6 linked regions of the Ovis aries genome follow. The protein of the gene in region 1 purifies or fractionates together with the protein of each later gene. This does not show direct contact. Links are inferred from orthologs where the notes say so. Each region holds a gene or a part of one and is shown on either strand. Other genes may lie near its edges. The genes, in order: EXOSC10, EXOSC9, EXOSC3, EXOSC1, EXOSC7 and EXOSC2.

Region 1 (4,269 bases):
CCACTTCCTTTTACCTGACCATTGCCACATGCCATGCAATGGGATAGGATTCACACCCAAGGCAGGGCCCTGATTTTTAACCACATCGTTGCCCTGCTGCCCCTTCTGCCCAGTTGTGGAAAGAGCGGCTTGTCCCATGAGGATGCCTGAGAATCTGGTGGGGCTGTAGTATTGGCCAGGGGAGACTCTTGGACTTCAGCAGGAACCCACAGGGTAGACGAGTCAAATTGCCACCTCAGGGGAAACCAGTGAAACAGCGTTCTCTGTTGCAATCCTAGACCTCTGCCTGAGGAAATGCTGAGCTATGCCCGAGATGACACTCACTACCTGCTGTACATCTATGATAAGATGCGGCTGGAGCTGTGGGAGCGCGGCAACGAGCAGCCCACACAGCTGCAGGTGGTGTGGCAGCGCAGTCGCGACATCTGCCTCAAGGTACAGCCCGGGCCCAGGTTCCACTTGGGTCCCTGTGCTCTGCTTTGCTCTTTTATTTATTTTTAAAAACTTTTTTAATGAGTTAATTTATTTTGGCTGCACTAGGTCTTTGTTGCTACACACAGGCTTTCTCTGGTTGCACAAGTGGGGCCAACTCTCTAGCTGGGGTTTGTGGGCTCCTCGCTGTAGTGGCTTCTCGTTGTAGAGCATGGACTCTAGGCACACCGGCTCAGTGGCTGTGGCGGTGCTCGTCTTCCTTGTGGTTTACGTTCATGAAAGAGCCCAGTGTCCTGAAGAGCCCAGGACACAGTACTGATTCCCACTTATCTTGAGCATTCTTTAATATTTTGCAGAAATTCATCAAACCCATCTTCACAGATGAATCTTACCTGGAACTCTATAGGAAGCAGAAGAAGCATCTGAACACACAGCAGTTGACGGCCTTTCAGCTGCTGTTTGCCTGGAGGGATAAAACAGCTCGTCGGGAAGATGAGAGTTACGGGTAAGGACTATCAATCCCTTTCATTCTTGCTAGGTGTGGTGACAAGGAAATAATGGGCTTTTTCAACTCTCTTCACCATGAAAGTTGATTATGTTTTCCCAGGGTTACAGCACATCATGGAGCTTGTCGGCAGAATTTAATGGGATCCTGTTGTGTGTTTTATTCCAGATACGTCCTGCCAAACCACATGATGCTAAAGATAGCTGAGGAGCTGCCCAAGTGAGTGAGGACTGATTAATGTGCTCCGACTTCCTCAGTAGAGAAAGTGCTGTCTTTCAGATCCAGCTTCCCTGATTGTTGTTACCTCAGGGCTGTTTACTCAGAGCAGATTAGTGCTCTGAGGAAGTTAGCAAGTCCAAGAAATGCAGAATCTCTGCCCGTGCACTGCCATTTAGGAAGCAGAGCTTCTGAACTGGAGCTATTTCCATGTTTATCCCTTATATGGACTCCCATGTAAGTCTCTGGGCTTCCCAGGTGTCTCAGCGGTAAAGAATCCGCTTGCCAATGCAGGAGACATGGGTTCGATCCCTGGGTAGGGAAGATCCCCTGGAGGAGGAAATGGCAACCCACTCCAGTATTCTTGCCTGGAAAATCCCATGGACAGAGGAGCCTGGTGGGCTACAGTCCATGGGGGTCACAAAAGAGTTGGACACAACTGAGTGACTTAACAGCAGCCTCAGCGTGTAAGTCTCTGAGCCTGGAGCATCCACTTTAAAGGAGAGAAAATGTCTCAGACTCTTTCATCTGTACCTCCTTCTGGATTAAGGTGTCTCATGATTTTAGATGTCTTATGATGTTAATTGGAGTATAAGCAAAGAACCAAACTCAGCATCACCTGGCACCTCCTTGCAGGGTTGCAGGTGAGCAGAGCTGTGGGGCTGCGTTCCAGCCCACCCTGAGAGCAGCAGGCAGCAGTAGGAGGCGTCTGCTCAGGGCTGAGTGCAGCAGAGAACACATCTTGGAACAGCCAGTGGGGCCACCCTGACAGACCGTGTTCCCTCAGTTCTCACCTGAGCACCTACACTCTGGCTTCACCGCGTTGTTGTTCTTCCCTGTAGCCTTTGTGGGCCGAGCTTCTGGGCAATGTTGAATGTGTTCTCTTCCTTCAGGGAACCTCAGGGCATCATTGCTTGCTGTAACCCCGTGCCTCCTCTCGTACGGCAGCAGATCAACGAAATGCACCTTCTGATTCAGCAGGCGCGAGAGATGCCTCTGCTCAAGGTAAGAAGCTCCCCAACTCCAGAGATTCTCAGCTCTGTCTGCTGGCATCTTGCTCCGTATAATCTCCTTCACACGTGAGTCGTCTCCATTCTGAAAAAAAAAGCTGGAGGAAATAATAGGATTTAGGAAATCCAGTGGGTGTGTCTTTATGATAGTCAGAAGCTAAAGTTCATCCTTCTTTAAAAAAAACTATTTATTTATTTTTGGCTGTGCTGGAGCATCGTTGCTGTATTTGCGGCAAATAGGAGCTAATCTTCATTGCAGCATGCAGGCTTCTCATTGCAGTGGCTTCTCTTGCTGCCAAGCACAGGCTCTAAGGCACGCAGGCTTCAGTAGTTGCAGAACTTGGGCTCAGAAGTTGCAGTTCCCGGGCTCTAGAGCACAGGCTCCACGGTTGCGGCACACGAACTTCGTTGCTCCACAGCATGTGGGGTCTTCTCAGACCAGGGATTAAACCCACGTCTCCTACATTAGCAGACAGATTCTATACCACTGAGCCACCAGGGAAACCCTCATCCTTCTTTCTCTGCAACCTTGTCTTTATTAATCCAAGGGCCCGTGATGTCTCATGATGTCTGATGATGGGCTGGTTAGCTGTTGTCCCGAGGCAGTCAGCCTTGCAGGGTAAACTGGAGTGGGGATCTCAGCACAGAGACTGCATTTTGGAAGCCTGGCAGTAGTCCAAAGTGAGATGATAAGAGCCCTGATGAGTGTGTCAGTCACAGGAATGGAAGGGAAAAGACAGGTTCAGGAAACACCTTCAAAAGCAAAGACTGATGGGACTTCATAACAGGTGGTGACAGTGGCTGCGGTTCTTTTCTGAGCACCATGCTAAGTACTTTAGAGGTGTTCTCTGAATGGCAAGTAGAGTTGAAGATAATGGAAGTGGAGTCAAGGACCACTCACTCCACACAAGAAAGCCGAGGTGATAAGAAACAGGAGCACCCCGGAGAGAAGGGAATTCAGAAAGAGCTAACTGTGAAGAAGATGCTAAAGTTTAGGCAGATTTAGGTGAAAGCAGGATGCCCAGCCCGTAATACAAACCCGTACATACCAACACACCTGTGTTCTTGTGTAGATGTTAACAGTATGTCTACACAAGCTTATGTGTAGGTTTACATGTGTGTGTACTTTGTTTTGTTTTTAATCCATACAAACATTTATTCTGCCCTTGCTATGGGGTGGGAGAGAGGGTGTTCAGAAGGATATGCATGTTTCGATTTGTGTTTTATTTGGCACCGTTTTTAATGTTTTGTCTCAGTAATAATATTAGCATGTGTAAAACATGTTTGTAATTTTTTGAAAGATTATTGATCACAGGCGACTTGAAATCAGCCCCTTTGAGGTAAAAAAGAAGAGAATCTGAGGATAAGCACATTTAATGTCTTCACGCCAATATTTCTTTCTTGACTCCATACATTGCCCAGTAAAGAGCAAAACACCAGTGACTAGACAAAAATCTTTCTCAAACTCTTTGGAATCCTGTATTGTGCCTCACTGTGATAAAGGGTTTTATTCTTTCATCCAACAAATAATTACTGAGCACAAGTAATTACAGTGCCAGGCACTAGACGGGGTGAAGGGATGAGAGAAAGTCTCGGGCTCTTGAGAAACACCGTCTAGTGAAGAGACACGTGTGCACTGAGGGAAAAAAAGAGAACGAGTGCGTCATCACATTTAGGGAACTTTCCTGACACCCTGTCTGTTTTGACTCTGTAGTCTGAAGTCGCAGCGGGAGTGAGGAAGAGTGGGCCGCTGCCCAACCCTGAGGTACCGTGATATGTTCGTTGTGGCTTTTTCAGAGGGAGGGAGGGAGGGGGAACCAGTCACAGCCTGGACAGACCCAGCCTCCTTGACAGACACCAGGGCCTGTCATCTAGTCGCAGAGCTGCTGCCTGCCTGCAGGTCCTTCACGCCGGCCTGTTGCCTTCTTTTTGATACAGAGATTGGAGAATGTTCTCTTTGGCCCACATGACTGCTCCCATACCCCGTCAGATGGCTACCTTCTCATCCCAACCGACGGTAACGAAGAGGCCCCTGGCACGTCCTGGGGGTGGGGCTGCCTGGTGTGCCGCCCTGTGGGCTTGGCCTGCGCTGACTCCCCTCCCTGT
Region 2 (4,269 bases), on another chromosome or scaffold:
GGGAAGCTTTAAAATTAACCAAATTAATGTTTTAATAATTCTGTTGTCTCTTTACATTGAAGTGACTCAAATTCATAGGCTCAGACCTGCATACACTCTCTTGACGTTATTATAGTGCTGTCTTTTTAAAATGATGTGATTAGATTGATACTTCTCTGTCCATGGGATTTTTCAGGCACAGATACTGAAGTGAGTTGCCATTTCCTTCTCCAGGGGATCTTCCTAATTCTTCCTGACCCAGGGATTGAACCCATGCCTCTTGCATTGATAGGCGGAGTGGATCAGTGTTAAAGAAGGTGCCTGCAGTGCAGGAGATGTGGGTTCAGTCCCTGGGTTGAGAAGATTTCCCTGAAGTAGGAAGTGGCAACCCGTTCCAGTATCCTTGCCTGGGAAATCCCATGAACAGAGGAGCTGGGCAGGCTACAGCTCATGTCAGACATGACTTGGCTGAACAATAACAAATCTTTTTAAAATATCCATTATCTTAAAACTGACACAGAATGGGAGAAATAGTAGCAAACCCAACAAATGATTAATTTCCAGAATATATAAGCAGCTCATTCAGCTCAATGGAGAAGGCAGTGGCACCCCACTTCAGGACTCTTGCCTGGAAAATCCCATGGACGGAGGAGCCTGGTGGGCTGCAGTCCTTGGGGTTGTGAAGAGTTGGACACAACTGAGTGACTTCACTTTCACTTTTCACTTTCATGCATTGGAGAAGGAAATGGCAACCCACTCCACTGTTCTTGCCTGGAGAATCCCAGGGACGCCCAGGCAGCCTGGTGGGCTGCCATCTATGGGGTTGCACAGAGTTGGACATGACTGAAGTGACTTAGCAGCAGCAGCAGCATTCAGCTCAATACCAGAAAACAAACAACAATCAAAACATTGGCAGAAAATCTAAACAGATGTTTCTCCAAAGAAGACATACACATGGCATATAAACACATAAAAAAAGATGCTCAACGTTGCTCATGACTATACACATAGTGTATAAACCCATGAAAAGATGCTCAACATCTCTCATTACCAGAGAAATGAAAATCAAAACTACGATGAGGTATCACCTCACACCAGTCAGAATGGCCATCATGAAAAAATCTAAAGACTATAAGTGCTGGAAAAGGTATGGAGAAAAGGGAACTGTTTTGCACTGTTGGTGGGAATGCAAATTGATACAACTACTGTAGTATGGAATTTCCTTAAAAAATGAGGAATAAAACCACCACATAACCTAGCAATCCCACTACTGGGCATATATATATATTTATTTATTTATATATGTATACCCTGAGAAAACTGTAATTGGAAAAGACATCATGTACTCCAGTGTCATCACAGCACTATTTCCAATAGCCGGGACATGGAAGCAACCTGGATGATTATTGAGAGATGAATGGATAAAGAGGCTGTGGTACATATACACGATGGAATATTACTCAGTCATAAAAAGGAAAAACAGTTAACTCAGTTCTAATGAGGTGGATGAACCTAGAGCCTATTATACAGGGTGAGCTAAGTCAGAAAGAGAAAGGCAAATATCATATATTAACACATACATATGGAATCTAGAAAGATGGTACTGATGAACCTATTTGCAGTGGAGTAATGGAGATGCAGACACAGACAGCAGACTTGTGGACGCAGGGAAGGAGGAGGGAACAAATTGAGAGTGGCTTTGAAACATAACCATACGTAAAATTAGACAGCCCGTGGACACTCCCTGTATGACGCAGGGAGCTCAGATCTGGTGCTCTGACAATCTAGAGAGGTGGGATGGGCTGGGAGGTGGGAGGGAGGGGACATAGGCATACCTATGGCTGATAGATGGTTGATAAATGGTAGAAACCAACACAGTATTGTCAAGCAGTTATCCAGTTTAAGAAAATTGACAAGCACTCAGTGTCACATTTGTTCAGGTAAACTTAACATTCATTTCAGAACATATTTATTGGTGGATCCCAGTGAACGAGAAGAACGTGTAATGGATGGCTTGCTGGTGATTGCCATGAATAAGCACCGAGAGATTTGTACCATCCAGTCCAGTGGTGGGATAATGCTGCTAAAAGATCAAGTCAGTATTTTGACTGATGTTCCATTAAAAATAGGTCTCATGTTTTTAGAAGCTTTTTCTTGATTTTTGCCTAAAATCCAACAGGTACTTTCCGTGGCTGATCCTAGGCTCTGTTAGACTCTGGTTCCATGACTGTCCTTATGCTCTGTTGTCCTTATGCCACCAGGGGCCCTTCCTCCCTTCCTCCCCTCCTCCCCTGTGTGCGGCGCTCCCCAGTCTAAGCCCCTCTACATAGAGGAATACTCTTCTTCCCAGTGAGGAAAGGGGTTTATATCCCTGTTTTTTTTAAGTGTCATAAAGTAGATTTAGGTATAAATTTTACTTTTGAGATTTGGGTACAGTGGGCAGAAATTCTCAAATCCAGCTGCATATAAGGTTCACGTGGGGGCTTTTAGAAAATAGATTGCCACGTAGCACATGTTGCAGCTGGTTAGGAGCACAAAGGCTACTTGGTTGGAATTCCAGCTCTGCCTTTACACTAACTGACCTTCGGCAGATTAATTCATCTTTTTGTGCTTCAGTCTCTATCTGTAAAATAGGAAGTAATCTTACTGTCAGCACCTTCTCGTTAGGAGAATGTAAGGATCAATATAGATACTTTGGACTGTGTAGCATAAATTAAGTATACAGTAAATGTTATTTCCAGAGATTCTGATCCACTGGTCCCTGAGGCCTGGGAATCTGCTTTATGAAAGCTTCTGATGGGACACTTTGCAGCTCTGTCTTGAGCAGAGATAGGGATCACTCACAGAAAGGAAGTGAGTGTATGTGTGGCCTTTTTAGTGGTATCTTACATTGTCATAGAGAAGTTTTTGGGTCACTTCCCTTAATTAAAAGTCTCTTACATCTTGCCTTAATTTGTGTTTTTATATTGTATTATTTTCTAATTTGAAAAAAAAGTAAGGCTTAAATTGCAAAGGTAAAACTAATCTTATGTTTTTAGTTTTGCTAAAGAAAACTCTTTGATTTGTTGTCTGTAAATAATAGCATTCACTTTTATAAATAGGTTTTGAGATGTAGTAAAATAGCTGGTGTGAAAGTAGTGGAAATTACAGAGCTAATACAGAAAGCTTTGGAGAACGACCAGAAAGTTAGGTAAGTTTATTTTTTTTTAGAATTGAATGGTCTTGTTATAAATTTTTCTGTTAATGACTTTTCTTGCACAAGCATAACCATATAGTTTTTACACTCAAATCTTTCCTTATCTAATAGTCTCAGTTGAATATAGTACTTAATGTTTTTGAAAGTTGATCAAACTGTTTATTGTATTGCATTCCATTTAAGCATAATCTGTACTGAAAAGCCACACAATGCTTTTCTTTCTTTCTTTTTTTTTTTAAAATAACATTTTCTCAGGAAAAAGAGAATCTGGTAACTTATACTAACAGAACACAAGCTAGGGTTGATCCCCATCTCTTCTTATTCTGTGATGTTAAGCGATAGTGTGTCTTGGCACTTCAGTGTCTGCTGTGGTCTGGGAGGTTACTGCCTACCTGGTGGGGCTGGTTTGAGGTTTGGAGAATAATATACCTCAAGCACATAGCACATGCTTGGCATGTGGTTTAATAAATGGTTAATTATAGTAGCTTTCTATTATCTCACTTGATAGGCCAAATAAATGGGTTAGATTAAGTTAGTCAAATGATTTCTCATCCAGTGTCTCTCATCTATCATAAGGATAAAATAGTTAACTTTTTTTCCTTCCTGTCTTCTCTTCCATCTCATTCTCCCTTTCCCTCCCCACTCCCTAAAAAAATCCACATAGGAAAGAAGGTGGAAAGTTTGGCTTTGCAGAATCTATGGCAAATCAAAGGATTACAGCATTTAAAATGGAAAAGGCCCCTATTGATACCTCCGATGTAGAAGAGAAAGCAGAAGAAATCATTTCTGAAGCTGAACCTCCTTCAGAAGTGTATCTTTACTGGGTGATTTTTTTTTTTTTTTCCAGTAAAAACAAGATTTATAATACTTGTGGCATGATTAGGGCTGTGTGAAGTATGTGCATACTGAAATTTGTTTTCTGAAAACAGAAAAAAACATTTACAAGACAAGAGAGTGATGAAGTAAATTGATGGTGTAACATCTGCCTTCTCTTCAGCTTCTCTTCTCAGAAATCAGAAAAGTTTATACTTTAACAACTTTCAGTGTTTTATTTTCCTTTGGAAAAATTCTTGAATCTCAGTGACATAGTCAAG
Region 3 (4,898 bases), on another chromosome or scaffold:
GGAGTGCCTGATGAACTATGGAATGAGGTTCATGACATTGTACAGGAGACAGGGATCAAGACCATCCCCATGGAAAAGAAATGCAAAAAAAAACAAAATGGCTGTCTGAGGAGGCCTTACAAATAGCTGTGAAAAGAAGAGAAGCAAAAAGCAAAGGAGAAAAGGAAAGATATAATAATCTGAATGCAGAGTTCCAGAGAATAGCAAGAAGAGATAAGAAAGCCTTCTTCAGCGATCAATGCAAAGAAATAGAGGCAAACAACAGAATGGGAAAGACTAGAGATCTCTCCAAGAAAATTAGAGATACCAAGGGAACATTTCATGCAAAGATGGGCTCGATAAACCACAGAAATGGTATGGACCTAACAGAAGCAGAAGATATTAAGAAGAGGTGGCAAGAATACACAGAAGAACTGTACAAAAAAGATCTTCACGACCCAGATAATCATGATGATGTGATCACTCATCTAGAGCCAGACATCCTGGAATGTGAAGTCAAGTGGGCCTTAGAAAGCATCGCTACGAACAAAGCTAGTGGAGGAGATGGCATTCAATTGAGCTATTTCAAATCCTGAAAGATGATGCTGTGAAAGTGCTACACTCAATATGCCAGCAAATTTGGAAAACTCAGCAGTGGCCACAGGACTAGAAAAGGTCAGTGTTCATTCCAATCCCAAAGAAAGGCAATGCCAAAGAATGCTCCAACTACCACACAATTGCACTCATCTCACATGCTAGTAACGTAATGCTCAAAATTCTCCAAGCCAGGCTTTAGCAATATTTGAACCGTGAACTTCCTGATGTTCAAGCTAGTTTTAGAAAAGGCAGAGGAACCAGAGATCAAATTGCCAACATCTCCTGGATCATGGAAAAAGCAAGAGAGTTCCAGAAAAACATCTATTTCTGCTTTATTGACTATGCCAAAGCCTTTGACTGTGTGGATCACAATAAACTGTGGGAAATTCTGAAAGAGATGGGAATACCAGACCACCTGGTATTTCAAGTGAGAGCCTTGAAAGTCAGAAGGGGAGACCCAATGTGCTATTGATTTGCAATTCAGCTGCTCTTCACCTGGGCAACTAAAGCGTGCTCCAAGGAAAACAGCAGCAAAGATTTAACTGCAATTTCTGATTTTCCCAGGCCGTGGAGGGGAAGCTTAGTTATATGGAAATATGCAAGTGATATGTAAATATTTTCGGGGGAGGTGGGAAGGAAACGCAAACCAAAATGTCAACATTCATTTTCATTCATTCATTCACCAAGTATTATTTATTTCGTGCCAGGACCTGCGCTCGAAGAAAAAAAGTGAGAACTATCTGACAGCCTAGCATAAAGACAAACAGGGAGCAAAACTAATGCTTTTCATTTTCTTTCTATTCTTCTCTGGTCTTCCACAACGTGAATAGATAAAAGTTTCCTATGCAAAAGAAAATACTGAATACTCTTCCTGGTAAAAGATTAGCGGTCCCTCAGCACGTAGAGTCAGAAGACAGAGCCAACTCCCGAAGGCCTGCTCAGTTCCCAGGGTTTCCACGAAATGAAAGATGCTGGGGTCTCATACCCCACTGTGCATCTCAGACACCGGGGGAGGAGGCTCCGCAACTGACTCAAGCTAGCGTTTCTCCTGCGGACCTGCGAACAGACTGCTGGATGGGCGGCCAGCTAAAGACACGATCATAGCCATCTTGAGGGAACCCGCTAATCCAGAGCGATCGGACTTTGAAAACAGGTTCAAATCCCACAAGCCTGTGCTGCCGGAAACGGAAAGTCTTGGGCGAGCTGGCGATTGGACGCAGAGCCGGAAGCCGGAAACTGTATAGTGACGCCCGCGATGGCTGAAGTAGCGGGTGTTGCAGCGGAGTCCCTGGCTGGCTGCAGGGCGCGGGCAGCGCGGACGGTGCTAGATCAAGTGGTGCTGCCGGGCGAAGAGCTGCTGCTGCCAGATCAGGAGGACGGAGAAGGCTCAGGAGGTGCAGGGGAGCGACCGCTGCGCCTAAACGCCGCAGCGCGCTCCCGGGGACGCGTCGTGTGCGGCCCAGGCTTGCGGCGCTGCGGCGACCGACTGCTGGTCACCAAGTGCGGCCGGCTCCGTCACAAGGAACCCGGCAGTGGCAGCGGTGGTGGCGTTTACTGGGTGGACTCGCAGCAGAAGCGGGTAAGCTGGGACTCTGGAGGGGTTGTCCGGCTGGGAGAAGGCTGAGGATACTCTTCGGAAGCACGGAAGGGGCCCTGGAGCCTTCCTCTGATAAGGCTAGAGAAGAGCCGCTGGAGTCTTTGTGCTTACTTCTACAACTCCTTTAGAGGGACCGTGAACAACTGGAACGTGGCCCTAGATGGGCGACCAGGCGAGAAAAGACCCTGGGGAATATAAGGGCACATAAGAGGATGAAGACTGAGGCGTGGTCATTGTCTTCAAAACCTTATAGGTCAGGGAGCAGCAGACTTGCCTTTCGGTGTTCCAAAGACTCAAGTTCAATGAGTGGATGTCACAGGGAGTTGTTTCTCTTAGAATAAATAAGAAATTTCACATAGGAAGAAACTAACAACAGAATGACCTTGCTTGGTTGTGGGGACCCTTGTATCACTGCTGCTGCTAAGTGGCTTCAGTCGTGTCCGACTCTGTGCGACCCCAAAGACGGCAGCCTACCAGGCTCCTCCGTCCCTGGGATTCTCCTAGCAAGAATACTGGAGTGGGTTGCCATTTCCTTCTCCAATGCATGAAAGTGAAAGTGAAGTCGCTTAGTCGTGTCCGACTTCTAGGGATCCCAGGGACTGCAGGCTACCAGGTTCCTCCGTCCATGAGATTTTCCAGGCAAGACTACTGGAGTGGGTTGCTATTGCCTTCTCCCCCTGTATCACTGAACTCTTGCAAACCAACTCTAGGGAGTTTCTGATAAGAATTCAGAAGAGATAAGATGATACACTTAAATGAACACTGTTAGAAGCTGGAAATCTGAGAGTTTATCATGTGATTGGTTTTCTTTTAAGGGAGAGTGACATATGATCAGGTTTGTTGTAAGGTTTGTATTGATTTGTAAACATGGATTTTATAATATTTTCTAAATATTTAAATTACAAACATAACAACCGCTGAGGACTTGTTGAAGATGTCTGAAAAATGATTGTCATGTATGGTGGTTCTCTCATTTTTTGTAGTATGTCCCGGTGAAAGGAGACCATGTGATTGGCATAGTGACAGCTAAGTCTGGAGACATATTCAAGGTTGATGTTGGAGGGAGTGAGCCAGCTTCCCTGTCTTACTTGGCATTTGAAGGTGCCACTAAAAGAAACAGACCTAATGTGCAGGTAACAACAGGACCTTTGGTTTCAAAAGTAGCAAATATCCATTTCCTAAACAGTCATATATCCAGAAGGCTACCGGAACTGTCTTATTTTCCTAGTGCTATTGGGTGATCTTGGAGCATCTTTGTAATCACTCCAGGCTTCAAGAGTTCTTTCAGATGCTCCACCTCTGGGACCAAAGCCACATACTTAGTTTACATTTGCTATGTTGGGGGATATTTTCATCTCTGCTGAAAGGTTATATCTGTTATTTGTTATATCCATATACACTGGACAAGAAGTAAGCCAGAGGCTTGGGGAGGAAGGAACAGTGGTGGAAATTGCCATACACTCATCCGTCTTTTCTGGATGTGGGTCCCGGGACTTGTATCTCACAGCTTCAGTTACATCACTGTTTCCCAACAGTCCCATTTTGCAGCTGACAGTAGTCGTCTTGCTACTTCAAGTTTCAGCTTGGGCTTTTCAGGTAGCATGGCCACTCTTCCTGTCCATCCAAGCCAGAAATTTGGAGGTTTCTTTGCCTTTTCTCACTCATCCTTCATGTTGAGTCTCTCTGATTTGCCACATGTGCACCCCTTTATCTCCACTTTGCAAGTTCAGGCCTTGGCTGTCTCTTGATCGGACTTTAAGTCAGTGACCTCCTTAGTAACATCCTGCCTGTACACCTCTGCCCCTTCATCCAGGCTTTTAAGAGCTGACAGCCTCTCATACCCCTTTCTGCAAAAGAAAAAGTTCTTCAAAGCCTACATGTTACTATTTCCAGAGGTCTTCTCTCATCCATAATTATATCTCCATGTGGCCCTGCCTGAATTACACTGAACTATTTAAGAGCACCACTGAATTCATAATCTCTGCTCCTGTACCTTTGTTTATGCTGTTCCCTCTGTCTGGATTGCTTTATCCTCTTCTCAACCTGTGGAACACATTCTGGTCTTTCAAGACCCAGGCTGAGCACCACTAACCCTCTGTAAAAACACCCCTAATTTTCAGTCATTTTTCTTACTGGATTCAGCTGTGAATGAAGTTTGTTTACATATATATCTCCACTGCCCTCTGAAAGTAAATGCTCTAAAAGGCAGAGAATGTTCTTTCTAGTTCCTGAGTCACCAGCAGTTGTTGGTACTTAATGAAACAAGTTTACTCTTCATTTCCATAGTTGGTGTCATTTTGAAGTTCAACTTTTGAGGCTTTTAAAGTAATTATTGTATGGAGAACAGTCAATGAATTACTAATATTCTGTTTTGCTTTGAATAATTTGCATGCCAGGGGTTGTTTCTTCTGTAATCCCCTAAAGCAGTGCTGTGCAATAAAACTTTGTGGTGATGCTAGTGTTTTACATGCACTGAGTATTATGGGAGCCACTAAGTCACACATGGCTATTGAGCATTTCAAATATGGCTAATGCAACTGAAAAATTGCATTTTAAGTACATCGTTTTAATTAAATGTAAGTTTAAACAACTACATGTGAGTAGTGGCTACTGTACTTGACAGTGTAACCCCAGTGGGTACCCTCTGGCTTTGCTGAGGCTCCCAGTCTGGGGATTTTCTGTGAAGGGAAGGGTGAGGGTACAGGCTTTAATTTGCCTTCTTTTA
Region 4 (4,755 bases), on another chromosome or scaffold:
GGGGGGTATGGGAATGCCAGGGAAGAAATATGTAGTCCATGGGACCACAAGTGAACATAAGTTTTCATCTCAGGAAACTGAGATAAAGCAGAACTCAAAAAACTGTGTGTTGGGGGTGAAGGGTGGTGATGGAAGTGAACAGGGCAGGAAATAAGAGTTTCCCTATCACTCCAAACAGAGAAGGCAATGGCAACCCACTCCAGTACTCTTGCCTGGAAAATCCCATGGATGGAGGAGCCTGGTAGGCTGCAATCCATGGGGTAGCTAAGAGTCAGACAGACTGAGCAACTTTACTTTCACTTTTCACTTTCCTGCATGGGAGAAGGAAGCGGCAACCCACTCCAGTGTTCTTGCCTGGAGAATCCCAGGGACGCGGGAGCCTGCTAGGCTGCCGTCTATGGGGTCCCACAGAGTCAGACACGACTGAACCAACTTAGCAGCAGCAGCAGCATCACCCCCAACACAAGCCTTGAACACTCTGATCCCTCAGTCCTACCAACATAGTGACACGTGCCACCAGTTCAGAGGGGAGTGTAGGTCACAGCACTCTCCTCTCCCCAAGGCTCTCAGTCACCAACTCTTTCCCAAGGGGAAACTGGACATGGGGGCTATTAGGGGTGGGAGGACACACATAGATTCCAAAGACACCGAAGAGCAGAGGAAACAAAGTCGACATAACTCATTTGAACAAAGATGCTGTTTTCAGGGTGTTTACTGCCTGAAGCAGCAAGTGTCAATCATCAGTAAAAGCAACACTAATTCATGCAGACTTTCCTTCCAGACTAGCACGCTTCCGCAAGATTGGAGACTGCAGTTACAGAAACTGAGGAAACGTTTTATTTCTCAACAAAGAATGATAGACTGAAAGTAAAAAATAACTTGAGTACCCGTTCGGTCTCTATCTTGATTTTAGAGATACTGTACAATTCTAATCCTATCCCTGGGGATGAATTTCCAAATCTGTGAAATGGGCGAGTTGGCTGGGGTGACCTTCCAGCTCCACGCCTCAGGGCTGCCCGGAGGGTGTGTTCCGTCCGGTTCGAGGGCACGGCCGTGCAGAGCAGGAACTCGGGCTCACAAGGCCCGGGAACAGGGCCCGACCCTATTAAAAGCGACAGGACTGGGCAGAAAAGGCCGCAGCTTCGCTCTTACCTGCCGCTGGCCGATTCCTCAATCAGCCAAGTCGAACCCCGCAGCCTCCGCCGCAGCTCACTGCCACCCCCTCCAGCTCGGCGTCCACCGGCCCTGCTCAATCCAACCAACCATGGCCCACCGCCCACAGGTCCAGCCTGCAGACCCGGACCCACCGCCCGCCCATCCTTGTCCACAGGCGCAAGCGCGAGAGTTCCGAAGCCCCGCCCCCGAATTCGTCCCGATGCAACCTGGGAAATGGAGTTTACGTCTTCTGGAAGCGCTTCCGGAGATTACAGATAGAGCACACCAATTAGCGCGTTTCTTACTGCGTAACTGCACCTGGATATTGGCCAATGAGAGGTCGGCCTCATTTTCCTCGGGATTTGGAACAGTGGCAGTCATGGCGCCACCCGTGAGGTACTGCATCCCCGGTAAGTCAGCGGTATCTAGAGCAAATCGTGGGCAGAGACAGGGGCAAGAAGGCCAGACGACCAACAGCTTCAGCGGACCCGTGGCTGATGCAGCGTTTTTTCCGCAGGCGAACGTCTGTGTAACTTGGAGGAGGGCAGCCCGGGCAGCGGCACCTACACCCGGCACGGCTACATCTTTTCGTCGCTTGCTGGCTGCTTGACAAAGACCAGCGAGAACGGCGCGGTAAATGGGGCAGCTTCCCTTCTCTTCTGTCTCTTTGTCTTACGCTGCCTTTGATTTCACTGTCTTTAGGCAGGGTCCTACGAGCGCGTCTTTAGTGCCTGGTTTAGGAGAAGGAGTTAGTCTCTGAGTTTCTGACAGCTGGGATCCCCGCTGCTGGACACTTAGCCATCACAAATTAATTGTGTTGTCTGGCTTGGCTGTGTTGCTGACCCTCCGGGAAGCAAGCTGGGGAAAGAACGGAGGCGAGCTCAGCCGTGCTGTGAGCTGAATCCTGGCCGAATGTCGCCTGCTTCTCTGGCTTCATTTCGCTCCGCTACCCGCGCCTCACTCTTTGCAGAAGTCCTACTGTCTTTTTCAATATCGCCAGTGGACCACAGAGTCTTTGTACACACGCCGTCTGTCTGGAACACGCTCCTCTCTTCCTTAGCCCGATTAAATCCTACCTACTCAGCGGAAGAGAATCCACCACCATTGCAGGAGACGCGGGCTCGATCCCTGGGTCGGGAAGACCCAGGAGAAGGGAATGGCAACACATTTCAGTATTCTTGCCTGGAAAATCCCATGGACAGAGGAACCTGGCGGGTTACAGTTCATGGGGTCGCAAGAGTCGGACACGACTGAGCGACTAAACCACCACCACCCTTTAGATAACCTCACTAGTTATCACTTTCTCAGAGAAGCCCTATAGACACCACTAGTCAAAAAAGGGAGTTTTGTTTTTTGTTTGTTTTAACACTCACAAAGAACTGTTGGGGTCAGTTTGCCTGTTTGTTTTGCCAGGCAGCATGCAGGATCTTGGAAGGAACCCATCCCCCCTGCAGTGAAAGGTCAGAGTCTTAACCATGGGACCACCAGGGAGGTCCCAAGAGCTGTTACTCCCTTTCTAAGCACTTAGTTCAGCATGCAATTTAACACTCAGTTATAAGTTCCCCATTAGACCCTTCCACTACTATGCACGTAGCGCGAGGTAAATGCTCAGTAGATGTTTATTGAATGTATGAATAATATTATTCTCCCTGGTTCCAGAGGCTGATCCATTATTAGCTTGGGATCAGATAAGCAGTTCTTGGAGGAGCAGCTTAAAGACTGGAGGTGGTGGGGGGCATGGGTTTAGTCGCTAAGTCGTGTCTGACACTTGAGACCTCATGGACTGTAGCCCACCAGGCTCCTCTGTCTATAGGATTTTCCAGACAATAATACTGGAGTGGATTGCCATTTCCTGCTCCAGGGGATCTTCCCAACGCAGGAATTGAACCCAGGTCTCCTGCATTACAGGCAGATTCTTTACTGACTGAGCTATGAGGGAAGCCCAAATCTCTATACAGTCCGTGGAATTCTCCAGGCCAGAATACTGGAGTGGGTAGCCATTCCCTTCTCCAGGGGATCTTTCCAACCCAGGGATCGAACCCAGGTCTCTGACATTGCAGGCAGATTATTCTTTATCAGCTGAGCCACCAGGAACGCCCTAGAAACTGGGAGCATAGTAGAAAGAGGATTCAGTATTGACTAAACCTTAATTCTGCCTTAGGTAAGAAACTTTCACTCCCTTTATAGGTTCTTACCTATAAAATGAGAGACTTTTGTATTTGATCAATTTGGGGAATTTCCCTAGGATTTGAAAGTTTGTTCATTTTATAGCTGTGGGATGTGATAATGAGCCAAATATATGTGGTCTCTGCTATCAAGGGGTACAGATACAAACTAAGCAAATAAATGCTCAAATGAAGGTATACTTACACATATGATGGCTGCTCTGAAACAATATTACAGAGTACCATGAGAACATGTAATAGGTAAATCCAGCCTAGTCAGAAGTGATATTTAGTCTGAATCTAAAGGATAAATAAGAGTTGAGTGAGTGAGCAGAAAGAGCAGGTTGAAAAGAGATCCTGAGATGGGAAAAAATTTCGTGAATTGGTGAAACTGAAAAAAGACCAGGAGAGCTGAAGCATATTGAACAAGGGAAAGGTTAAGAAAAGATCGGGCTCAAAAATATCTTTCCTGCACCAATAGCCAGTACCATGCTCAAAGAGGAAACTCTACAAGTGTTAAATAGAAGTAAACAAGTATGGCCACTGTTATATAACATTTATTTGAAAATTCTAGCCTGTCCAATAAAATGACAAACCAAAAGAAAGATGTAACTTTGGAGGAAAGAGTTAAATTATCCATGATTACAGGCAATGTAGTTGTATGTGGAAAAACTCTTAAGAAAATCACAAAAAAACTCAGAACTCATCTGAAGTGGTAAGATTATATCTTCTTACACCTTTCTTTCTGTGGCCCCTTGGCCCTCCTGTATCCTAAAATTTCTAAGGCTTTCTGCTCTGGGCTACAAATGAATCTGTTGTCCACCTGCCCATGTGACGTCTACTGTGGCCCAAGGTTTCCCATTTTACTGTCAAGTCTCAAATACCTTTATCCAAGGCTTAGCCAGAATATTCATGTTTTATTTTTCTCTCTGCAGCTTCCTGTCATATCTGTGATGAGAGAAACGGAGTCCCAATTACTGCCAGATGTAGGAGCTATTGTAACCTGCAAGGTAAGTTGGTCCTAACCTCCCTGCTTAGGATACCATCCAGTGTTGAAATCATGATCCTTATAGAACTGCACTGTCCAATATGGTAACCAATAGTCACATAACGTCATTTAAATTTCAATAAAATTAAAACAAATTTAACATTTATTTCCTCAGTTCTGCTAGCTCCATTTCAAGTAGTCAGTAGCCACAGGCGAATGGTGGTTGCCATGTTGGTCAACAGAATTTTTCTATCATCACAGAAAGTTTTACTGGACTGTGCTGGGTCTAGAGATTTCTAGGATAATGATCAGTGTGGTTAAGTTCAAGCTTATGTAGTCCTTTCACAGAGCTGGTTTCCTCAGTATGTAATTTTTTATTTCTGTCTGGGAAACAGGAGTACCAGAAGGTCATAAGGAGGTGTATTTTTGAACATCTAAAGCGAAACT
Region 5 (4,938 bases), on another chromosome or scaffold:
GGGCACCTGTACTTTCATGAAGGAGGAAACCCTTCTGGGTTTACCTCTCCAAGTCTCCTGGAGGGCAGAATTCAACACTGCAAGACATCCTCCCTATAGGTACACCTGCAGAGAGTTACAGAGAGACCGGAAACAACGAAAGGTCCAGTCCACTAAGAAGAGATGATTTATTTGGGGGCTCGGCAGCTTAGGGCTTCAGAATGTGGGCAGGTACGTCCTCTCCATACCCTCTTCAGAGGGTATACAACCTCCCGGTCCCACTATGTTCACCGGTGCCACTGTCACAGCTGTTCACCCCCACGTTTATGCTGGGTCTGGAGCCTTCCCTCTGCCTGGGAGCTTCTCTGGGCAGAAGCTGTGTTTCACTTGTCTCAGTGTCTCAAAGCTAGCACAAAGCCCATCAACAGTAGGCTCCCAAGAGTTATCTGTGAAACTGTATTGAGGCTACTATCTGAGACACCAACCATTCTTTGGAGGATCAAGCAGTCAAGGGTTAGTTTCACTTCTGACAACAGGGAGGTTCCTCAAAAGTGGGGCACTTGGAAAAATCATCAGATCCCCTCGTTGCTACTATCCTTCTGGGTTAACTTTCCTCCATTTATCTACGTGGCCCCTTTAAAATCTGTTTCCTGCCTTATCAACCCCGCCTTAATGGGCTCCTTCAGTGACCCCACGTTCACCTTGCAGGTATCCTTTCTGGATATTCAAGGCCCATATTCCTACTTGGTCACGACTGGGGCCGGCATTTCTTTTTTTTTGTCCACGGTTCCCAGCGATCACCCGGTCAAGCCAGGGCTTCCAGTCCCTGCTGGGAAGCGCTGGGGACGCCGGGGCACTGCGCCCCCGCAACCCCCCCCGCCAGCGCTGACCAAGACTCTCCCTTCTACTCTCTTTGGGACAAAGCTCCGGCAACCATCCGGGACATGGGGATCCTGCAAGGTTCCGGGGCGGGGGTCAGCGTTCGGTCAGCCAGCCCCAGAGAGAGCGGGGGTGGGGGGGTGGGGGAATCCATGGGGTGCAGTTGAAGACGTCTCGGGACTAGAAGGGCATTCACTCCCGGCCAGATCCTTATCACCGAGAACGACCTAAAGAGGGCTTGATCGCTTCTTTCCTCCCCACCATCCCATGGGCCAGAGAAATACATGACATGAGGGCAGGAAGGAGAGCCAAGAGACAGCCTCTCTCAGGCCAATCGCGACGTCCGCCACCTCTCACTTGGGGTCGGTCTCTTTCTTCACACACACGCACGCACACGACCGGCTACTTCAACTCCAGCTCTGAGCAAACTGCGCCGCACGCCTCTTCCACCGCTACCCCTTCGAGCTCCGGCCCCGGCCCGCGCCTGGCGCCTCGCCCCAGCTTTCTCGCCGGATCCCAGTTTCCTCACCCGACTGACCGTGAAGCCAGAGGCAGTTCCCCAGTCCCAGCCCCCTCGGTGGGGCTCCGGCTGCCGCTGCCGTCGTCGCTCCCCTTTCAGCCCCCGACCCGGGACCCGGCCCTGGGCTGCAGCGATGGCTCCCAGGAACGAGGCGCCGCGGCTCCCTGGACTCGGCCAGACACAGGGCGGCGCGCAGGAGAAGCCCATCGAGCTCCCCGGCGGTGGTGGCGGCGGCAGCTGCAGGAGCGGCCGCCGCGCAGGCTGATGACGCATGGGAGGGGGGGTTGTGCCTGGCGGGGGGCGACGCGGGCGGATGACGTCAAGCGGCGGGGAAGGCTCGGCAGCATGGCGTCGGTGGCGCTGAGCGAGGCGGAGAAGGTGTACATTGTGCATGGCGTTCAGGTAGCGGCAGCGGGCAGTACTGGCGCCGGCCTCCGGGTTCCCTTGGCCCTGCGGGTCGATGCCGGGCCTCGGCTTGCCCGGAAAGACTGCGGCAGGCTGGGTTTACCTTTGATTAGACCGCTATGCGGCCGGCATGTGCAGCTCTAAAGCCGCCCGTGCAGGCGTCTTTGGGACCAGGCGGCGAGCATCCGTTTAAGACTGTATGCGTACTTGGATCTTTCCGGGTCTACAAGGTTCCAAGCTCGGGTAGGACGCGGTGGGCAGTCCCTGATTCTGTTAAATCCCCTCTCAGCCTTTGAAGGCTGAGCTGTCTCACTTTTGTTAGATACATGCTCTGTCATAGTTTTTAATCTCATTGAATTTTTGTTAAGTCCTGAAGGTGAGTGTTATGTCTGCTTTACATATAAGGAACTAAGTCAGAGAGGTTAAGTCAGTTGTCTGAGGTCGTAAGGTAAGTGTGTGGTGGTATTACCGCAAAACTGGGGTTTGACTCTTGGTCGTGAAAGTCGCTCAGTCCTGTCCGACTCTTTGCGACCCCATGGACTATTCAGTTCCTGGAATTCTCCAGGCCAGAATACTCGAGTGGGTAGCCGTCGCTTCTCCGGGGTTGACCCTTGGATGTTGAACCAAAAAACACAACCAAGCCAGAGAATGGGAGAAGGAGGAATTTATTAATTGCATCAAGTAAGGGGACTTTCGGAGGAGGCAATGGCACCCCACTCCAGTACTCTTGCCTGGAAAATCCCATGGGCAGAGGAGCCTGGTGGGCTACAGTCCATGGGGTCGCTAAGAGTCTGACAGGGCTGAGCTACTTCACTTTCACTTCTCACTTTCATGCATTGGAGAAGGAAATGGCAACCCACTCCAGTGTTCTTGCCTGGAGAATCCCAGGAACGGGGGAGCCTGGTGGGCTACCGTCTATGGGGTCGCACAGTCGGACACGACTGAAGCGACTTAGCAGCAAGGGGACTCTGGGAATCTTTTCAGAAGCAATGTCTACCAATAGCAAAACTGGAAAACAGGCTAAGGGCACGTGTATAGTCATGAAGGGGCTTGAGCAGAGGAGGAGGCCTAAAGTCGGGGCAGAGGTCAGCGGAGTCCAGGCCTTAGTTGATTGGAGTCACCAAGGGGACGGCTTCCCTGGTGGCTCAGCTACTAAACGATCCACCTACAGTGCAGGAGACCTGGGTTCGATCCCTGGGTTGGGAAGATTCCCTGGAGAAGGGAATGGCTTCAGTATTCTGGCCTGGAGAATTCCATGGACTGTATGGTCCATGGGGTCATAAAGAGTCAGACACGAATAAGCGACTGTCACTTTGCTTCACTTCACCATGGGGAAGAGAAGGGCAACACCATCTTCAGGTTGTGGCCACGTTGGGGTCTTATCCTGGAGTTACCATCCTTCAGCTGAGTGGGCCCCTGAGTTCTTGTAGAACAACTCGAAGGTTCGTATCAAACTGTTAAGTATATCCATTGAAGAAAAACTAGGGCTCCGTTTTATCTGAGAACTGTTGTTTCTTCGTTGCTTTTCCATTTTTTCCTGAATTCTGTAGTTCCCTCAAGATGATTAATTACCGTGACATGTTCAAGGGCAAGCATTGTGGCCAGGAGTAGATCACAAAAAGGCTGAGGACTAAAATGGCTTCCCTTGTGTCCAGAAAGCCATGCATGCCTGGTTGCCTTTTTCCGGAACCCCCCACCCTCTCTTTGTACAGTGGAACTGGGATATAAATCCAGATCTGACTGTAAAGCCCAGCTCAAGCCTTGTGCTATTTTCCCTTTTTAAAAATAGGCACCCAGAAATAAAAGCCAGGGAGAATGCCCACGGCTTCCACTTCTCTTTCTTTGCTCTGTCCTCTGAAAGCGCGTCGGCAAAACAGGAGCAGGGAGGGCAAGTTCTGACCCCCACCCCCGCCGCATTTTTCTAGGCCTTAAATAGTATATGGACATATATTACTATTACCTTTTTAGGTAATGTTTTTCCCACGTTGGTTCTAAGCTTCTTTAGAACCCTAGTTAGCATTTTTTTGTACAACTCTTGTTTTACTTACTTGTATCTGACTGGTTTTGTTTTTTAAGTATTTTGTTTACGTGGCTATGCTGGGTCTCAGCTGAGGGATCGTCAGTCTTTGTTGCAGCATCTGAGATCTTTATTTGAGACCTGTGGGATTTTAGTTCCCTGACTAGGATCCAACCCAGGCCCCCTGCATTGGGAGCACAGAGTCTTAACCACTGGACCACAAGGGAAGTCCCAAGCTGGTTCTTATATTCAGGAATTGGGGGCAGGTTTCAGAATTTCCAGAATTAGCATTTAATCTTCTTTTCAGGTTTGCTTAACTGGCTAAATGTGTGCTTTCTTCCTCCCTGGAAAGACATTGCTAACTTCTGTCTTAGCCCAGTAATTCTGAGACCTTGGAAGTGCCTTTTACTCACAAAATACAGCTTCCTGGGCTTTACCTGGATCTTCTGGATCAGAATCCTTGGGGCTGGGGCTGGGGCTGGAGCCTGGGAATGGGTATTTTCATAAATGTTGGGAGATTTTGATGCAGTCACTAGACATTGGACCTTGGACCAGCCACTGGCTTGGTCCAGCCTGCCTGGAGTCTGCTGTAGAAATCTTTGCCGCTCTGCCTGAGGAGTTTGTAGAAAGGGGGACCCCTTTCAGGGCCAGTGAGTAGGCTGTTGTCTAACACTTGGAAATGAATTGTCCAAGGAGACACACGTGCTGACAAAGCAAGAGACTTTATTGGGAAGGGGCACCCAAGTGGAGAGCAGCAGGGTGAGGGAACCCGGGAGAACTACTCTGCTGTGCAGCTCGCAGCCTCGGGTTTCACGGTGATGAAGTTAGTTTCTGGGCTGCCTCTGGCCAGTCGTCCTGACGCAGCATCCTTCCTGGTGGCGCACACATCACTCAGCCAAGGTGGATTCCAGCAAGGAGGATTCTGGGACGTTAGTAGTATGTATGGACTGGCATCCCCTCTCTCCTTTTGACTTTTCCCAAAAGGAAAAGATAGCAGTAGCTTATTAGTTCCGCATTCTTTACCAGGATGTCCTGTTGTAAGATAACATATCTCCTGCAAATGGTTATTATAGGAACCTTAATGGTCTGGCCAGGGCAGGTGGTTTCTGCCAGTGTTTCCCCTAACAAGGTCAATGGC
Region 6 (4,798 bases), on another chromosome or scaffold:
TAGTGATGGACAGGGAGGCTTGGCATGCTGAAGTCCATGGGGTCACAAAGAGTCAGACATGACTGAGCGACTGAACTGAACTGAACTGAGCCCCTTCTCCAGGCAAGGAGGAGGGCAAGTGTCTGGCTGTCCACTTACTGATGACCTGTGAGCAATTAGAATCTATATAACTGACTACCTTACAGGGTTGGCTTTCTAGACAAATGTAGTTGTGAGCCACGCTTAGGTGAAAGAAATGCTATCCTTTTGAAGATTTACCAGGCTATTGGTCTGATGGGTCTTCAGGAGAAAACAGACTTAATTTACTGGTCTCAGTGAGTGGTGCTGATGCAAGTTATTTTATTTCATCCTATTTAGAATCCCTGTACTGGGCTGTGCTGTGCTAAGTCACTTTAGTCTTGCCTGACTCTGCGACTCCCGACTCTGAGACTCCACAGACCATAGCCCACCAGGCCCCTCTGTCCATGGGATTCTCCAGGCAAGAATACTGAAGTGGGTTGCCGTACCCTCCTCCAGGGGATCTTTCCGACCCAGGGATTGAACTCGTGTCTCTTATGTTTCCTGCATTGGCAGGCAGGTTCTTTACCACTAGCGCTACCTGGGAAGCCTGCATGAAGAATTATCACCTCCAATTCCCTGAGGTTGAAACTAAGTCTGTTGCGAATGCTATAAAGCATGCAGGGCCAAGGGTGAGGGAGAGGGTAGCACCTGGGGAGAGGGACAAGCGAAATACTCCTGACGCCTAGATAAAACCACATATCCTTCCATCTGTTCATCACTGAACCCTTAGGACAGCTCCTGGCTCATTTCACTGTGTGAGTAAATGTACGCGAAAATCTTTGTATTGTGTCCATTTGTCCTCCCTGACAAAACATACCCGCTTGGCAAGATTTAAATGTGTTCTTAGACGGCTTCTTGCTTTTTCCAAAAGAAATACCAGGGAAATCAGCTCGCTTAAGAAAGAATGGAAACAGCACCTGCAGCACTGTTTGGGGGTGTAGATGATGGTTGGTGCTGAACTAGCACTCACGAAGTGACAGTAATGTAGAATACAGGGGCTACTAGTAACAGTACGAAAAGAGACTCTTTCCTCTGTCCAAATAGTGTTTTCTCCTCTTGATCCTCCTGGTCAATCGCATACCAAAGAAGAGAGATTTCAGCAGCTTTGAATTGGAAGGAAACTCAGAGGCCCACTTCACAATTATTTATAACCCTGGAAAACAGTAAGTGAGATGAGCACAAGAGTTTTGCTGAAAAGTCGAACGCTATGCAACCTGAGATTTTATTATTTGACAAGAGCAGCCTTGCCAATAGTAAAAATGGCAACTTGACTCCTTCCTTCCCTTCGTGTTAACCTAATGGTTGCCAGTAGCCAACATGGAGGCCAGACCGTGAGTTCCCGTTGGCGGCTGTTCTGAGGCCCCGCCCCTATGAGCGACGGCTGGAAATTGCGGAGACGGAAAGCGTGACTCCGAGTGGGGCTGCGCCTGCGCGAGTTATTGGCGCCAAGATGGCGTTGGAGATGAGGCTTCCCGTCGCTCGGAAGCCTCTTAGCGAGAGCCTGGGCCGCGAGAGTAAAAAGCACCTAGTGGTGCCAGGGGACACGATCACCACGGACACAGGCTTCATGCGGTACGTGGGGTTGTGGGGACACTGGGCGGCAGGGGCGGCTGCATTGCTCTCTTTCCGCATCAAACCTGGGCCTGTGTTCTGCATCTAAGTGCTCGCGGTACCCGGGGCGCATCTGGGAGCATCTCAGTTGCCTCGTTTTCGAGGCTTCGGACTTCCTACTTCCTGCTTCTTGTATGTCCCCGTCTGTAGCTGCCTCAGCTCCCCCGAAACCTTCCTGTCCCGATCACTGGTAGCTGTGACTCGTGGGTCCTGTGCCTCAGGCCCCGATTCTGAGGCCTTCCTCGTTGAACCTGCAGCTAGGGCCTCCTCACAGGTTTCGGCGGAAGGGATGGTGGGCGTTTTTGACTTCTTCCACTTAGCCCTCAGCATTCCGTCTCCTAGCCAGGGGCACGGTTTTGGAACGAGCCATTGCTTGGGCTTAAAGAAAGTGAAGTCGCTCAGTCGTGTCCGACTCTTTGCGACCGCATGGACTGTAGCCTACCGGGCTCCTCCGTCAATGGTATTTTCCAGGCAAGAATACTGGAGTGGGTTGCCATTTTGGGCTTAGGGGGCATGCAAATATATTATGTTACATGCACCAGAATAGGTAACTTTGAGTCTGAGGGCAGGCTCCAGCTTAAGGGCAGCTGGGGTTCCGGTCCTGCTGCCGTCACAATATTAGCTGTATCACCTCTCCGAGGTCAGTTTCCTCGTCTGTAAAATAACTATTCCAGAGAATGGTGAGGATTCCATGAAAGTGAAAGTGTGGAAGAGTTAGTCCCTCAGTCATGTCCGACCCTTTACCACCCGGTGAACTGTAGCCCGCTAGATTCCTCTGTCCATAGAATTCTCCAGGCTAGAATACTGGAGTGGGTTGCATTCCCTTCTCCAGGGATCTTCACCACCCAGGGATCCAACCCAGGTCTCTGGCATTGCAGGCAGGTTCTTTACTGTCTGAGCCACCAGGGAAGGATTACATGAGGGGTAATGATTATGAAAAAAAGTAAGACTCACCATTCTATCACCATCACAGTGGTCAACACTACTCATACCTCAGGCAGCCTCTGCCCTCCCCCCATATGCATATGAGAGAGGTACAGCGTTTATTCCATTGCCCTTTAACCTCTTAGTTTGGGATTATTGGTTCCCAGGAAATCTTAAGATTCAGTCCTTTATTCATGCAGTCCATAAATATTATTTGTGGTTGGGGTATAAACTGAACAAAGAGGAAATCTCTGTCCTGGTGGACTTTATGTTCTGAGACAGACAGATGAGAAATAAGCACAACAAACAAGTTATTTAGAATATTTGCTGGTAAATGCAGTAGAAAAGAATAAAGAAGTGAGGCAGGGTAAGTGGAGCATAAGTTGGAAATATGGTGGGGATGGCAGCCGCAGGGCGGGTGACTATTACAAATGGGAGAGTTGAGGAAGGCCTGGTGGAAAAATGCCATTTGAGTCGACTTGAGTACAGTGCAAGAGATGGCCACGTAGGACTCTAAAGAAGGAGTGTTTAGGCAGAGGTGGCAGCCAGCAGAAAAGCCTGTCTTTGAGGCAGGAGGAATCAGATTTGAGGAACACATTGTTCTGGCTGCTAGAGGTCACCTCAAATATTACCCTGGTATCCTTTGTATCTTCCTGTTGCAACAGGGGCCATGGAACCTACATGGGGGAAGAGAAGCTCATTGCATCTGTGGCTGGCTCTGTGGAGAGAGTAAACAAGTTGATCTGTGTAAAAGCTTTGAAAACCAGGTGAGAGCAAAAGGTGTGTATTTTGTGGCATCTGAGTTGCACAGCCAGGTCTTTTCTGCCATGACACACCCCCTACCCCCAGCCCTGCCTGCCCTGTCGTTCTGTAGGGCTGGGATTTCGGGAACATGACTGGAGGAAGGGTAGAGATGACTGTAGGTAAGGGTAGGCTTCAAAGGTTTCCCTACGATATCTGACCTCTTCAAACTTGGGTTCCCTCTCCTGCAAAATGAGACCTTGCCTGACCTCCTGGGTAGGATTTTCCTTGGAATTCACCGAAATAGTGTGTATAAAGTACTTTACACAGAGAGCCGTCTGCCTTGAGGGCTCAGTAAAGGTTAGCCCCAGAACATGAGCCAGTGGGGTTGGAACAGAGTGAGCAGGCGAGTAGTAGGAGCAGATGCAGAGAGGTGAGGTAGGCAGTCTGCATGCCCTGCAGCCACGATAAACGTTTCTGACTTCCACTCTGTGCGGTCTAGGAAGGCCCTGGAGCAGAAGGACCTGATCCGCCGCCCTCTGTTTTAATGGAGTCACTCTGGCTGCTGTTGGGGGCGGGGGTGGGGCAGGGTTAGGGAGCCAGATTCCTGCTCTGTTCTCATCATCTCGGTTGGTGGTGGCTTGGACTAAGGTGATAGCCATAGAAGTGGGGAATAGTGATCAGTTCTGCGTGTATTTCGTGTTCTGCGTGTATTTACTGTGAAAAGCTGTAGGATTTTGTATGTGGGCTTTTCTACACGTAGGACTATGTCTGTGAGAAGAGATCGTTTTATTTCTTCCTTTGGGGTGCTTTTTATTTTCTGCCTACATTGGTAAGGTAGAGGTCTTAGAATCTGCTGCTGGACCTGTCCTGGAGCAGGAGAGAGAGGGGAGGAGGGAGATACACACGGTTCCTCCAAAGACTCCAAGGACTGTGGCTTGAGCAACCGGAGGGGTGGAGTTGCTATTTCCTGGGCCGGTGACAGTTGGGAGAGGATCCATTTGCTATAGTGGAATTGAAGGGGCTGCTAGAAAGCTTTGTTTGAGGTTTCTAACTTACGCAGATTCCTGTTAGGCACGTAAGTGAAGGTGCTGGGTAGCCAGTGGTTGACTAGAGCTAGAGCCTGAATTCAGGGGAATGGTGGACTCATCGGTGGCATTTAAAGCCATCAACTTGGGTAAGCTCACCAAGTGAGTGTGGGCTGGAAAGAGAAGAGGCCCAAGGACTTAGCCTTCAGAGTGGAGGCTCTAATTCATCATTAGAGTTGGGAGGAGGAATTAGGAAAGGGATCCGAGACATGCAGCCAGTGGCTGAGGGAGACGTGAGTAGACCGGTTTGGGAGGTACCTGCCTCACTTTCCTTTCTCCTCCTCTGGCTGATGTGGAACTCGTCTGTGTTCCAGAGCCCACCAGAAAATATCCCTTGCATATCCATTTTTCATGCAGTTAACAAAATAAGGCGT

What was found.
Region 2: the proteins of EXOSC10 (region 1) and EXOSC9 purify together in Homo sapiens (co-immunoprecipitation; 7 studies listed by BioGRID and IntAct, with this or other methods). This does not show direct contact. The link is inferred for Ovis aries from reciprocal best matches to the Homo sapiens genes EXOSC10 and EXOSC9.
Region 3: the proteins of EXOSC10 (region 1) and EXOSC3 purify together in Homo sapiens (affinity purification with mass spectrometry; 8 studies listed by BioGRID and IntAct, counting the BioPlex papers as one, with this or other methods). This does not show direct contact. The link is inferred for Ovis aries from reciprocal best matches to the Homo sapiens genes EXOSC10 and EXOSC3.
Region 4: the proteins of EXOSC10 (region 1) and EXOSC1 purify together in Homo sapiens (co-immunoprecipitation; 8 studies listed by BioGRID and IntAct, counting the BioPlex papers as one, with this or other methods). This does not show direct contact. The link is inferred for Ovis aries from reciprocal best matches to the Homo sapiens genes EXOSC10 and EXOSC1.
Region 5: the proteins of EXOSC10 (region 1) and EXOSC7 purify together in Homo sapiens (affinity purification with mass spectrometry; 6 studies listed by BioGRID and IntAct, counting the BioPlex papers as one, with this or other methods). This does not show direct contact. The link is inferred for Ovis aries from reciprocal best matches to the Homo sapiens genes EXOSC10 and EXOSC7.
Region 6: the proteins of EXOSC10 (region 1) and EXOSC2 fractionate together in Homo sapiens (co-fractionation; 9 studies listed by BioGRID and IntAct, with this or other methods). This does not show direct contact. The link is inferred for Ovis aries from reciprocal best matches to the Homo sapiens genes EXOSC10 and EXOSC2.

The regions. Positions count from the first base shown.
Region 1 is NC_056065.1:41,798,155-41,802,423, forward strand, and holds part of EXOSC10 (exosome component 10), read left to right. Parts: intron 1-278; coding exon 279-435; intron 436-788; coding exon 789-937; intron 938-1,105; coding exon 1,106-1,156; intron 1,157-2,046; coding exon 2,047-2,158; intron 2,159-3,877; coding exon 3,878-3,928; intron 3,929-4,101; coding exon 4,102-4,180; intron 4,181-4,269. UniProt on the Homo sapiens protein: Catalytic component of the RNA exosome complex which has 3'->5' exoribonuclease activity and participates in a multitude of cellular RNA processing and degradation events.
Region 2 is NC_056059.1:3,761,622-3,765,890, reverse strand, and holds part of EXOSC9 (exosome complex component RRP45), read left to right. Parts: intron 1-1,941; coding exon 1,942-2,074; intron 2,075-3,080; coding exon 3,081-3,169; intron 3,170-3,839; coding exon 3,840-3,986; intron 3,987-4,269. UniProt on the Homo sapiens protein: Non-catalytic component of the RNA exosome complex which has 3'->5' exoribonuclease activity and participates in a multitude of cellular RNA processing and degradation events.
Region 3 is NC_056055.1:50,986,664-50,991,561, forward strand, and holds the start of EXOSC3 (exosome complex component RRP40), read left to right. Parts: upstream 1-1,816; 5' UTR 1,817-1,831; coding exon 1,832-2,155; intron 2,156-3,156; coding exon 3,157-3,306; intron 3,307-4,898. UniProt on the Homo sapiens protein: Non-catalytic component of the RNA exosome complex which has 3'->5' exoribonuclease activity and participates in a multitude of cellular RNA processing and degradation events.
Region 4 is NC_056075.1:18,489,308-18,494,062, reverse strand, and holds the start of EXOSC1 (exosome complex component CSL4), read left to right. Parts: upstream 1-1,503; 5' UTR 1,504-1,534; coding exon 1,535-1,565; intron 1,566-1,672; coding exon 1,673-1,788; intron 1,789-4,255; coding exon 4,256-4,330; intron 4,331-4,755. UniProt on the Homo sapiens protein: Non-catalytic component of the RNA exosome complex which has 3'->5' exoribonuclease activity and participates in a multitude of cellular RNA processing and degradation events.
Region 5 is NC_056072.1:54,175,836-54,180,773, reverse strand, and holds the start of EXOSC7 (exosome complex component RRP42), read left to right. Parts: upstream 1-1,689; 5' UTR 1,690-1,723; coding exon 1,724-1,780; exon of another isoform or gene 1,781-2,026; intron 2,027-4,938. UniProt on the Homo sapiens protein: Non-catalytic component of the RNA exosome complex which has 3'->5' exoribonuclease activity and participates in a multitude of cellular RNA processing and degradation events.
Region 6 is NC_056056.1:5,933,250-5,938,047, reverse strand, and holds the start of EXOSC2 (exosome complex component RRP4), read left to right. Parts: upstream 1-1,493; 5' UTR 1,494-1,510; coding exon 1,511-1,632; intron 1,633-3,260; coding exon 3,261-3,362; intron 3,363-4,798. UniProt on the Homo sapiens protein: Non-catalytic component of the RNA exosome complex which has 3'->5' exoribonuclease activity and participates in a multitude of cellular RNA processing and degradation events.